4 linked regions of the Schizosaccharomyces pombe genome follow. The protein of the gene in region 3 binds, or shares a complex with, the protein of the main gene of each other region. Each region holds a gene or a part of one and is shown on either strand. Other genes may lie near its edges. The genes, in order: rtc6, mrpl23, mrpl51 and mrpl19.

Evidence for each region.
Region 1: mrpl51 (region 3) and rtc6 share a complex: the UniProt entries of both Schizosaccharomyces pombe proteins name them as parts of the mitochondrial large ribosomal subunit.
Region 2: mrpl51 (region 3) and mrpl23 share a complex: the UniProt entries of both Schizosaccharomyces pombe proteins name them as parts of the mitochondrial large ribosomal subunit.
Region 4: mrpl51 (region 3) and mrpl19 share a complex: the UniProt entries of both Schizosaccharomyces pombe proteins name them as parts of the mitochondrial large ribosomal subunit.

Annotation. Positions count from the first base shown.
Region 1 is NC_003423.3:1,519,521-1,522,329, reverse strand, and holds rtc6 (mitochondrial 54S ribosomal protein bL36m), read left to right. Parts: upstream 1-1,839; coding exon 1,840-2,118; 3' UTR 2,119-2,300; downstream 2,301-2,809. Other genes in the region: Lid2 complex histone demethylase H3-K36 subunit Jmj3, read right to left, coding at 1-886, 943-1,059; RNA-binding protein Yme2, read right to left, coding at 2,341-2,809. UniProt on the Schizosaccharomyces pombe protein: Component of the mitochondrial ribosome (mitoribosome), a dedicated translation machinery responsible for the synthesis of mitochondrial genome-encoded proteins, including at least some of the essential transmembrane subunits of the mitochondrial respiratory chain.
Region 2 is NC_003423.3:4,218,239-4,221,122, reverse strand, and holds mrpl23 (mitochondrial 54S ribosomal protein uL13m), read right to left. Parts: upstream 1,351-2,884; 5' UTR 1,221-1,350; coding exon 1,200-1,220; intron 1,158-1,199; coding exon 705-1,157; 3' UTR 507-704; downstream 1-506. Other genes in the region: scs2 (VAP family protein), read left to right, coding at 1-178; mrz1 (ubiquitin-protein ligase E3), read right to left, coding at 1,643-2,449. UniProt on the Schizosaccharomyces pombe protein: Component of the mitochondrial ribosome (mitoribosome), a dedicated translation machinery responsible for the synthesis of mitochondrial genome-encoded proteins, including at least some of the essential transmembrane subunits of the mitochondrial respiratory chain.
Region 3 is NC_003423.3:1,698,396-1,701,474, reverse strand, and holds mrpl51 (mitochondrial 54S ribosomal protein mL43), read right to left. Parts: upstream 1,543-3,079; 5' UTR 1,394-1,542; coding exon 1,328-1,393; exon of another isoform or gene 1,237-1,327; coding exon 1,074-1,236; exon of another isoform or gene 978-1,073; coding exon 769-977; 3' UTR 603-768; downstream 1-602. Other genes in the region: cytosolic thiouridylase subunit Ctu2, read left to right, coding at 1-602; protein Mdm34, read left to right, coding at 2,382-3,079. UniProt on the Schizosaccharomyces pombe protein: Component of the mitochondrial ribosome (mitoribosome), a dedicated translation machinery responsible for the synthesis of mitochondrial genome-encoded proteins, including at least some of the essential transmembrane subunits of the mitochondrial respiratory chain.
Region 4 is NC_003424.3:3,205,455-3,208,428, forward strand, and holds mrpl19 (mitochondrial 54S ribosomal protein uL11m), read right to left. Parts: upstream 1,087-2,974; 5' UTR 1,081-1,086; coding exon 646-1,080; 3' UTR 508-645; downstream 1-507. Other genes in the region: npt1 (nicotinate phosphoribosyltransferase), read left to right, coding at 1-139; cytochrome c oxidase assembly protein Cox16, read left to right, coding at 2,066-2,296, 2,416-2,526. UniProt on the Schizosaccharomyces pombe protein: Component of the mitochondrial ribosome (mitoribosome), a dedicated translation machinery responsible for the synthesis of mitochondrial genome-encoded proteins, including at least some of the essential transmembrane subunits of the mitochondrial respiratory chain.

The sequences.
Region 1 (2,809 bases), 180 kb from region 3:
CCATAAGTCTTCGTAAATTAGAAAATTCATAGTTGGAAGCAGATCTTGGTGAACGAAAGACAAAACGTCGTAAAACAGCGTCTCCTAGACAAAATGCACTATGATGTGTGCCTGGAAAGGTTATAAGCAGTTCATCCTGTTTAAGGACTGTTGAATAAGTAACAATACCATTTTGTACTAGAGTTGAAGGGGGAAACAAAATATTCTGGTGAAGCAAAAAATCTGAACAACGCCAATGCTCATCTTGCGCAAGCTTTCCAGCTAATTTTTTAAAAGACTCACTATGTGCTGAAGGTATCACATACCATTGCAATGAAGAGCCACCTAAATGTACCTGAACTGCATGCAGCTCAGGAGATTCTACCCGCCAAGGAAGGGTAGTTTTCCATTTCCCAGCAAATAAGTGACCAACATTTGGCCAAGTGTTAATCAATGTATTCGATCTTAAATGTACCCTATCTTTTTGAGCAGCAGATATCGAAGGTATAAAATAGAAGGGGATCGATGGGCGATTAGTATATCCATACCACAGACTGTCATGGGTCAAAGAACGCCAATAATATGCAATAGCTTTAGCCACATTGTTTTCAAAGTCATTAGAACTTCCAGCGTTTGAAGGAAACCTGTCGTCGACATTCATATCGGTAGGCTTTTTAGGACCAGCCGAGCCATGGTCTATATCGCTTTGAATCTCGAAGTACTCTCCTTTCCGTCTCACCATTCGCTCTAACCATAAATCCATTTTTACATCGGAAGGTTTCATTGTATCTTCGTTCCAAGGATTTAAAACAGAACTAGGACGAACAACTTTAATTGCGCCGTATTTCTTGCCAAGCCTTTCAACGCGCCGAATAAAACTTTCCATATCTACAAATTCTGAAATTTTCTAAACAAATTTTGTTAACATCCACAAAATATTTAATATTTTTCGCGTAAACTTACTGGTTCCACAACAGGTATGCCATCTGACCCTTCGATATGATAATCGATTTCACACTCCAAAGAACTCACTGATGTGTCACTTTTGCCAGCATGTTTCTCTTTAACATTTTGCTGCATAGCAATCTATTTTTCAGCCTTTGGATTGAATATTTTGGTGTTTTTGAGACATCCACCAATTCGTGGGATTTGCTAAATTTTCCTTTAACAATCTTTTACCAAGGCAAATGACGCATCTGCACTCCAGTTCCATACCCAAATTAGCAAAGTATAACGAACTCGTTATACCAGCAACTAAAAACATAAACAAATTCTCAAAAATTGATCATTTCAAATTAATCGATTAGCATGCCAAACCAAATAACGTAGAATCAAAGTTATTAGATGATGCGGTCAATTAGCTATTTTAGGGACTAAGAAGGTCAGAGACTCAACATTAAAATTTTCATTTGTAAACAAAAAATGGAGCTACACTGTTGAGTTGACTCCACTTTAATAAAAGTATTCCTTATTTTAAAATAATGTGATAAATTTCAGGTCAAATTGCTCCACAGTAAGCTGGCTATTGAATTTATAGAATAACAAGACATGTTGGTTGTCACTAACTGACATGTCGTAGGTTAGCTTACTAGAAGCACTAACTACTATTTATTTTCCCAACAAAGAATATCCAACAAATCGGGCGTAAGCGAGTTTATATAACTTAGTATTCACCTTTTTTTTTTATGAAAATCTTCTCTTGTTGATAGGCATTTTCTATTATCGTTCTTTTTTGGCTCAGTCCAAATTGTGAACACTTTTCCATCGTACATCATTTATTTAGCTCAGAATTACTTCGGATCCAAAAAAATTTAAACATCTTGACTTGAAGTCCCAGTTTCACTTTTTTTTTAACTTATAATGGCTTCATTAGGTCGTAAATTTTTTGCTGTGGGTGTTTTGTCACGAGTCTTCCCTTCTGCTTTTAATGCACAAAAAGGGTTGTTAAAAAATGCATCTATGTTCTTAACCCCTGCTTTCAGACTTTCTCCTAGCCTTCTACCTTGGAACTTTTCAAGAGGTTTCAAAGTGAAAGCATCAGTAAAAAAGCGTTGTTCATCCTGCTATTTTGTGCGTCGCAAAGGTAGGTTGTATGTACTATGCAAAAAACATCCGAGACATAAAACCCGTCAAGGTTAATGACTATAACCGGTTTCGCTTCTTCTTTTTTTTTCTACCTAGGCTAATTCTTCATTACGCTCACTTCATATTACGACGATTTTTGGACTACCTACCAAATCCTTACTCCCTTCTCTCTCGTTAATGCGTAGTCATTAAATGTGATATTATTGTTGACATTATAGCTTCATGCTAAAGAATTCATAAAAACATACGTAATCTTAAATGATATGCTTTCGCATCTTAGTCGATTTTTTTCAAAGCCTCAGTAAGCCTTTCTATACTTTTCTCATTATCAGTAATAACACCTTGATTTTTCTGGATACGCGTCGTTAAGTAATGAGCACGATCCTTCACACCTGATTCAAGGTTCCCAAGGTCCTTTAGCATTTGTAGCTCCTGTTCATCATTCTTGATAGCATTGTTAGCCATGCCAATTAACGCGTTACATCTCACCAACTGCATATTAGCACTTAATACTGGATCATTTACAAGTTGCCGGAAAGCCGTAACATATACAGGTTTTCCAGCGTAGACTTTATCCGGTCTTGCATTCACTGTGGTAATAGTAATCAATTCTGATTCTTCCAAGGCACGAACGGCATCGTCGTGTCCTTTGAACAGTGGGTCAAGCATCAACATATGATAGGGTATATATTCATGTTGAGATAAATAAGTAATTAAGGTCCATGACTCTTCTGGAGTGAACGTT
Region 2 (2,884 bases), 2.5 Mb from region 3:
AAAACCTGCTGCAGGTGCTCATAGTTCCGACAACGCCTTGGAACAAATCAAGCCCTCTTATTCAGCTGACCCTTCGAGTTCCACTGGTGCTTCTTTAACCGAATCTCCAGGAATTCCTCCCAATATTGTTATCATTCTTTGCCTGATTTTCTTCCTTATTGGCTATCTTTTCTTTTAAAATGTAAAGCGTAGATATGTTTAATAAGAAGTGTAAAATCTTCTCCCTAAGTTAATGGCTCTTGATTTTATTACTTTATATGGCCTTTGCTAAGCAAGGTTTTAGGTTGACGTTTGTTGAATTTGTTTGCTCTTCACAACGATAGGGTACTTTTTAGCGCGTTTATCTGGCTTTGGAGATAATTTCCAAATGTCGTTATTTATGTCGACGTCTCATGTTATCTACTTTTTACTCGCAAGAAAAGTTGTAGTCCTCTTATGGTTACCAGACATTCATTCTTACCAGTTCACAAACGTAAATGTGTCTTTAAATACATTACAGCTTCTTATAGTGAATACAATAACATTAATTTATATAAAATAATTTTTTTTGGAAAGAACAATATTAAAATGTGTTAGCTTTTTAGGGCATACGACATTGTGGAATGTTCAAACATTAATGCAAAAAATCAATGAAATTTAAGTGAGTAGGGATATGGCTTTTGTTCTTTGAACTACCTTTTAAAATTAAAGGAGATTTTAAACACTTATTTCGAGAATAATTCCTTCGCAATTTGCGAACTTACAGGATTATGGTAGGAACGAAATATGTTTGCCTTATAAGGGTGTTCAGCTCCATCGTAAATATAAAGACGTTTCATTCTCCTATCCCAAAGCTTATTTCTTGGAAGCATTCCACCAACTGCTCTTCTCAACAAATCCTTGTGCCCCCGTTTCGCAGCCATTTCTTCCATCGTCCACTCTTTAAGATGACCAGGCTGACCCGAATGTGAATAATATTTATGATTTTCGAGTTTTCGACCAGAAATCCCAATTTCAGAACAGTCAGTGACTACTACGACATCTCCACAGTCTGCTGCAGGGTGATAAATGGGTTTGTGCTTGCCCATAAGAGTAGTTGCAATTTGGGAAGCCAGCCTACCTAGAGGAACATTTTTTGCAGAAACATGATGCCAAACTTTGGCGTAAGCCAATGCTGTCTGATATTGTTAGTAAAAGAAACTGTCAAACTAATTTCATACTTGTCCATTCAACGTTGACATCGCGTTGAGATTTCTATATCATAAAATCCTCAGTTCCTTCTGATTTTTCTCTTAAAGCGACAGTACAATATCAGTGGTTTCTAATAAAAGAGAAGTAGGAAAATTGCTCAAATAATGTTTCCTCAAGCTTGTAGGTGTGGGTAAATATTGGATGCTAAGCAACTGTAGTAAGGTAACTGTTACCTACAAAATTTCTATTTTTCAAAAATGTTGTTTTATTTATTATTTCTTAAATATTGATTTTTCAATTCATAATACGAACCTCCTTTACTAATCATGATAAAGCTAATAGCTATTGCTTCAAAAAATACCATTTGTATATATTAGAAAAAATAAGGCAATGAACGATACAATGATAAAACTAATTTTTGATAAGCCCAAAGAATCACAGTAAATTGCAATAATATACAATTAACGCTTGATTACGAATTTTCCGTCTCAGGACCAGATTCATGCTGAATGTTTTCAATTTGACTCAACAGCTGAACCATTGTTAAGCCTTCCGGACCATACAAATATCGCTTGCTATACAAGTAGCTGCTTATCGACAATGGACGGAATTGTAAATATCTTTGCAATTCATGGAGGAGTATAGAGGACTCTTCATGGCCTATAAATTCCGCTAATTCATCAATGGTTTGTGGATGTTGAATATTCTGAACTCGTAAGAGACCCATCAAAAAGATTTGTATAAAGTTAATTTGATGTCCATCTAAATATTCAAACAAGAGAAGTTCTTTAGCAATAAAGCTTTCCACTTTCTTTAATAAAGATGCGCTAGAAGCTAGTTGGATAGGAGTGGGTATTTGATATTGCCTATGTGATGAAAGCGAGGGATTTTCATAGCTTTTCCATGCCTTTTGATAGATGAAACGTCGTACGCGTAGCAAATCGGCCAATCTGTCAGTGTTTTCGCTGGAGGAAAATGAAGGCTGCCGTAGTAATTGTCGTGAAATCGAATACTGATTTGACCCCAAAGATTGAGTATACCACTTCTTATACAAACTTGACCCATGAAATCCATAAAACACACAATCTACGTGTCTCTTACAGATGGGACATGTCAAGGATTGATCCATCCAGCGACATATGCAAGAATAATCGAACTGGTCATGCCCACATGGAGATAGCTGTGCCCGAAGACCATCTTTTTGTAAACATATAACGCAATCTCGACGAAGGTAGCGAGAATTTGACGAGTTTTTACGTACAAGGAATTGCTTTTTCATTCTTCTTCTAAAATTTAATAACTTGTTATATTGTATTTATGCACTAAATTAATTGATGTGTATGAAACCGCATGAATGGCAGAATGTCAAGTTATCTTGTCATCAAAAAACATTGTGTGCTTATTCTTCTTAATGGAAAATTATTCAAGTCATAATTTGCAAGACTTGTTGAATTTTTTAAGGTGAATTTTCACAATCGTCGTCTTACACTAGATGTAGGCTAAGTTATGAGAACAATTAACAATTCGCAGTTACTAAACTGAATCTCTTCTGTACGCTCTTCGTAACGTTAACTTAGCTTAACGCGGTTAATGCTATATGCATAATACAAACAAAGAAGTACATGTTAATGTTAGCAGAACTACACTAGCTATGATACAGTACGTTGCGTATCACTATATGTCATATGCTAAGATATTACTTAAGATTCGTTTG
Region 3 (3,079 bases):
CGCGTCAAGATTTACTTTACCGAATTCGGGATAAGCTTTTAGTATCCTATGCCCGGAAGGCAAATTGTGATACCATTGTTTTTGGTGATAGCGGTACTACAATTGCTGCAAGAGTTCTTGAACTTGTGGCAGAGGGTCGAGGTTTTGCGATACCATGGTACACTTCTGTCTGCTCTAAGCTTCCAAATTGCGATACTTTCCTACTACGTCCCCTACGTGAAGTTTTGTCTTCAGACCTCAAGTCGTATATGAACATTAAGGGATTAGCTTTCTGCGATAGCTTAATTGAAGCACGTCCTAATACTATTCATGGCGTTACAGAATCATATTTCTCATCGCTGAATGATACATTCCCAAGTCTGGTTAGCACCGTTGTCAAAATGAGCTCAAAATTGCATGTGCCTTCTACAGAAGCCATATGTACCATCTGTAATCTACCAATGCAAGAAGATGCTGAGACTTGGTTACAAAAAACTACGGTTGAACATCCGGATTCCGTTGAAGGTATTAAGAATCAAAATGTTTGCTATGGCTGTTCTGTTTCTTTAAAAAGCTTAAAAGGGACGTTGCATATTCCTGATATTGAAAAAGAAGGGATTTGATACATCTGTACACTTACTACCTGGTTAACTAGAGTATTTATGGGAAGATAAATTTGGATAGGGTTTTGTATTTCGGACAAAAAGGTTAGACATAATAACATAACGAAAATGATTAAATTGAATTTTCTTTTTTTTGTATGAAATAATAAGTAGTTTGTAGAGGAATCTAAGGGGACTTTTTCTTATAAATTTCATGGGGCTTTGCTTGATCGGAAAATGGACTCCAAATACCACGAACGGATGGGTTTGTTGACTCAACAGGATATTTTATGAGGCGAGGTTTCAAACCATCACTATCTCTGCATAGAATTGCTTTTTGAAATATTGAAGACGCTGACATTTTCCTTGTACAAATGACCTTCTCTCGACCAGTATCTATTATCGTAGCATTAGTAAAAAACACTATTTTAAGGAGTTCATATTTATAAAACTAAGAGGATCACCATAATAAGAGAAAAGTCTTGGACGTACTGTAATAAGCTCGGATTAATGGATGCTTGCCTTGGCGGTTTGTAACATGAAATTCCACATCTTGAGATTCTTTGGCCAAAGACTCAAGCTTTGTGGATAAAAATTCTTTCATGCCTTTTGAGCTTCCACCCCAATTACAATACGAAAACTCAATTCGACGGCACTAAAAAGAAAATTAGTAATACGAAGTTAATGAAGGCCAATCTTTTTTTTTTTTTTTTTTTTAAAAAAAAAGAAAGCTGATTAAATCTTACTGGGCGGGTAAATGAACCTAGTCCATTTTTGGGAATTGAAATTTTAGGAATGATTTCAATCATCATTAAGTGAGTAAAAGGCCGTAAAAAAGGGGATACCGTCTTTTAAAAACCAGAATTCTTAATATGCTATATTGAAAAAAGTTGGGTGAGCAAATCCTTGCAGAAATAATGAAAAGTCGGTATGGAGACGTAAAGGGGTGTGTGGAAATTCGCAAATCCCAAATTGCTCTAAACTTCAATACTTGTTCCAATTGATTTAGAATGTTAAACTTAGTATGCAATTAGTTTTATAAAAAATTTTAGCAACAAAATCAAGTTTACTGTCTACCTACAGTTTCTGGTTACACACTTTGCAATACTTTACCTTTCTGCTCTTCTCTAAATAATGATATCTAGAAAGTTTACAGTGATTTTTTAACGTAGTACATGGACTGCGAACAAACATAATATAGGTTTTTTAAAACGAACAATTTTGATTTAATATCATTCATTTATGCAGAGATATCCTTTTCTGAAAGAGCAAAGTTGTATCGGTTCTTGTACTCGAAGTTCTTCAGCCTAGATATTTGTCAACATAGCAAATTAATACAGTAAGCAACACCACTAATATCATTTCTAAAATAATGGCTGAATTTCTGATTTGAATATCTAAGGAATTTCATTTCATGAAGCTTTATTTATCCCTCCTAAATGAACAGAATAGCAAGAAAATATATTTCACCAGTATAGCATAAGAAACTACTGTGCATTTTGTAATAATTTATTTAATGCATTCTAATACACCTTCGTTCATATACAGTACGATCGACCCTATCCTTATCTTGGCTATATCAAGGTTCAGTATGCCGCACTAGTGCATCAGCCAGCCTATCGATGTTTATTTACTGTCCGCCACTGTATGGAAGTTGTCGTTTCCCTATCCGAATTTAATAAAAATTTTGTAAAGAAATTGATCTAAAGCGTTAGTTACTTAGTCTATACTAGACGGTTCCTTACAAAAAAATTTGACATTTTTCATAGTTGATGTAGATAACTTAGGAAAATCAACAGAATGTCGTTTCGTGTAAAGGGATGGAGTGATCAGTTCTCTGAGTCATTCTATGAGCGAGCAACCACTTTGCTTACGGCTGCTTTAAACAAAGGCACTAAACACTCGATGATTGCAGACCACATCACTGTAAAAGAGTTGGATTTGGGTCCCCAACCTCCTCAACTGGAAATTTTAGAGGTTGGCGACTTAGCGCCAGACCGCTTTCAGGGCCTCTTTAATCTCCATTATTCGGGTGATGCTTCTTTGGTCTTGCAAACAAAAATTCGTGCCAATCCATTATCGGTGCAAAAAAGTAATGTTCCCAGTTTTAGTTCTCGTAATACAATGTTAGCATCTCGTGCACCGCTTACTGTGCCTATGTTTTTACGACTTTCCGACTTAAAGCTTAACGGAATAGTTGTTTTGGTGTTTTCAAAGCAGAAAGGTATCACTGTGGTATTTCGAAACGATCCTTTAGAATCCGTGCGTGTATCTTCCTCCTTTGATTCTATTCCTGCTATTGCTCGCTTTTTACAAAGAGAAATCGAGGTGCAACTGGTCTCCCTGTTTCAGGAAGAACTTCCTTCCATCATATACAAAATGTCAAGAATTTGGTTTGCCAAGTCCGACTCTAATCTATCTTTTCAAAAAATTCCTTTCACTTCTCCTAACCAATCTCATACTTCTCTGGCTAATTATAACCCAGATTTGCTAGATGG
Region 4 (2,974 bases), on a different chromosome or scaffold from region 3:
ACCTATGAATATTGTTATTAAGCTTTTTTCCGCTGAAGGAACTAAAGCAGTGAAGATTAGTGACGATATCATGAAAAATACTGGTGATCGTGATGCTGTTATTCAAGCCAAGCATCAATTATGCCTCCCTATAGCATAAGCCATTTCTTTTATTTTCGAGCGTTTCTGCAGTACTAATCTTGGTTTTTTTTTTCTTATTTTTTGATAGATAGACAGAGTTTGAGGCTCTCTTTTATTGAGCTGCATTTCATAAGGCGTGACTTAGAGTAAACATAAAACTCACACTTGAAAATCTTCATTTTCTTTTCTGCTTAGCATATCTGTTTCGTTATCTATATTGATAGTTTAATGCTAAAGGTAATCATTTAGTCTAAGATGTGTTTGTAAACTAACGGTATGCAATTCTTTAATTTTATATGGCAAACGTGTTTTTTTACTTTGCTTGTTTAACGAAGGAATAATATAAAACAACTAAGAAAAGGAGAAAATAAGAAAACAGGGACAACGTTTTAGTCGGTAATAGTAAAAAGTCATATCATTAACTGCTTTTATTCAAGAAAAAAGAGGGGAATAGTTTATAACAAGATAGAAAAAAAAATAACCTCAAGTATGACCAGTTACAAAATGCTCTGGCGTCTCATAAGATTAAGGTACGACTTTGACGCCCATGCTTTTAGCTGTTCCAATGACACTTTTACAAAGAGAAAGAAGCTCTATTCCTTGTAAGCTTGGATCAGTACTTTTCAATTTGGCAATTTCATATATATGCTTCAAGCTTAATTGTCCCTTTATATCATGTAATGGGGAACTTGAACCTTTTTCAAGGTCGAGGGTTTTAGAGATTAACCAACTGGTTGGAGGAGTATGTATAGTGAAAGTAAATGTTCTTTGAGGTGTGACAGTAATTTTACAAGGCACTGGGGTATTTGGCATCCAACCTGCCGTCCGCGCATTAAATTCTTTACAAAAGTCTATGCTCTTCAACCCGCGAGCACCAAGGGCAGGTCCAATTGGAGGCGTAGGCGTAGCTTTTCCTGCCGGTACAATTAATTTTATGATTGTCGTTCTAGTAGAAGCCATAAGGTTAAAGAAGAAAATACAGTTGTAAGTTGTATGTCTCTCATGCAATAAAGTAACATGTTCTTCCTTAAAAATAATTGTAATTAGAATAATAACTAATTTGAAATATTTGGGTGAATTAATTGTAATGTGTTTACTTATTTGTAATATTAAAGCTTTTAATAGCAGTCAGAAAAATTCCCGAATAGACCAAATGTGTCCTTCTCTTCTGCTTGATTGAATAGAAGTAAAAGTATTGACATTAAATAGGCAACTCAGATAAATGGAAAAGACGTTTTCATAAACGTTGTTCGTTTTAGGATTTTTTTGAAAAATTTTAGTTGATTTTTGAATCTCAAATACGGATTAGTTAAAATGTCGCAAAATTTTTCATTTGTTGAACAACAATAGCGCTGAATTGAAGCCGTTTAAAAGAAGCAAACCAAAATTTAGCTACATAGCTTTTCAAAGTTAACTCCTTACTATCAATTAATATATTAAGTTTTTAGGGATTGGCAAATATCCTAACTAAAAAGCATGATTATTTCATTTGAATCACAAGCTGAAATTAAATGGTCTTTTCTCAGCTATTTTATTACTTTCAATAAACATTTTACATACCATTTTATGGTAAACAAAGTAAAACACATGTTTACTGGAAGTCACAGTCTGTCACTAGCACATGCCATCGATATGTTTCTTTTTCCTAATGTGTATTGTAATTAAAACTATAAAGGGTTTTCACCTGAAGTGCTTGGGCTATGTAGGAATGCTGTCACGCGATGCAGCTTGAATAATTAGTAGAAATAAAAAGATTTCAAAGTGCAGATTTCTATTAAAACTCTACTCTTAAAATTAATTATTACAAACCAACGACTATCTTATTAATTTCCATCCTAACATGCTGAGTGAAGTTTGCCATAATCATCTTAACCAACTTGCTATTTACTACACATTCTTAACAATCCATCGTTTTCAGCGAATGTAAGGATGTTAATAAATTAAAATGCTTTTCTATCGATTTAAAAGTTGGTATAGGCTTCAAGCCAAGAAAAGTCCGTTTATTTACGTTGGATTGCCGTTTTTGAGCTCAGTATTATTAGTCTGGTCATGCTTGATCCCCATTTCCCAAGTCAAATTTAACAGACGAGATGAACAAGTTAAATCCTTGTCCCGGGATGCAGAGTTAGACATTATTAAAAGAAGAAGAAAGGTCGACGTTAATGAAGAATATTATGTAAGTAAAGTGCTGATCTTGTTTTACAATATTTAAGTTTTGGCAACCAGCTGCAAAGTGCATTTGCTTTTCGTGAATTTACATTCACCAGTTCCTTTTTTATTAACCACCTGTTATAGAGGATCTTATTAGATCAGTTGAATCTACAGAACGAGGAGTACGAAAATAAACGTGTAAAGAGGTTAAAAGGGGAGCCTACATGGGAAGGAAATTCAAGCGATAAAGAATGAATAATGAACGATTTTATTGTTATTTTGTTCCTTTATTTTATTATTAATTATGGAGTATTGAAAAGGATACAAGTTTTTGAAGTGAGAATGCTGAAGACGACTTTATGATACAGAGTGTTTTAGCATATGGAAATACTCAAATAAATAAAGCAAGAATTTTTTTTTCTAACATGAGAATAATATTTATGTGGCTCATATATAATTATCTTCAATTTAAAGGACCAAATACTTACACTTAAGCATATTCAGTAGAATAAACTTTCAATGAAGATATTTGAGCGTAAATTTCACTATGAATATGTCACTCAAGCCTAAAAGCGTTTTAATAATAGGAGCATTCAGAAAGGTTTCTTTACTAGTAAACGGTTTATTTTTGGCTTTCCGTTATATATAAGTAACTTGTTAAATAGAACTTGTTTTGAAAGCAATCAAATAAGTGCCATCTCTC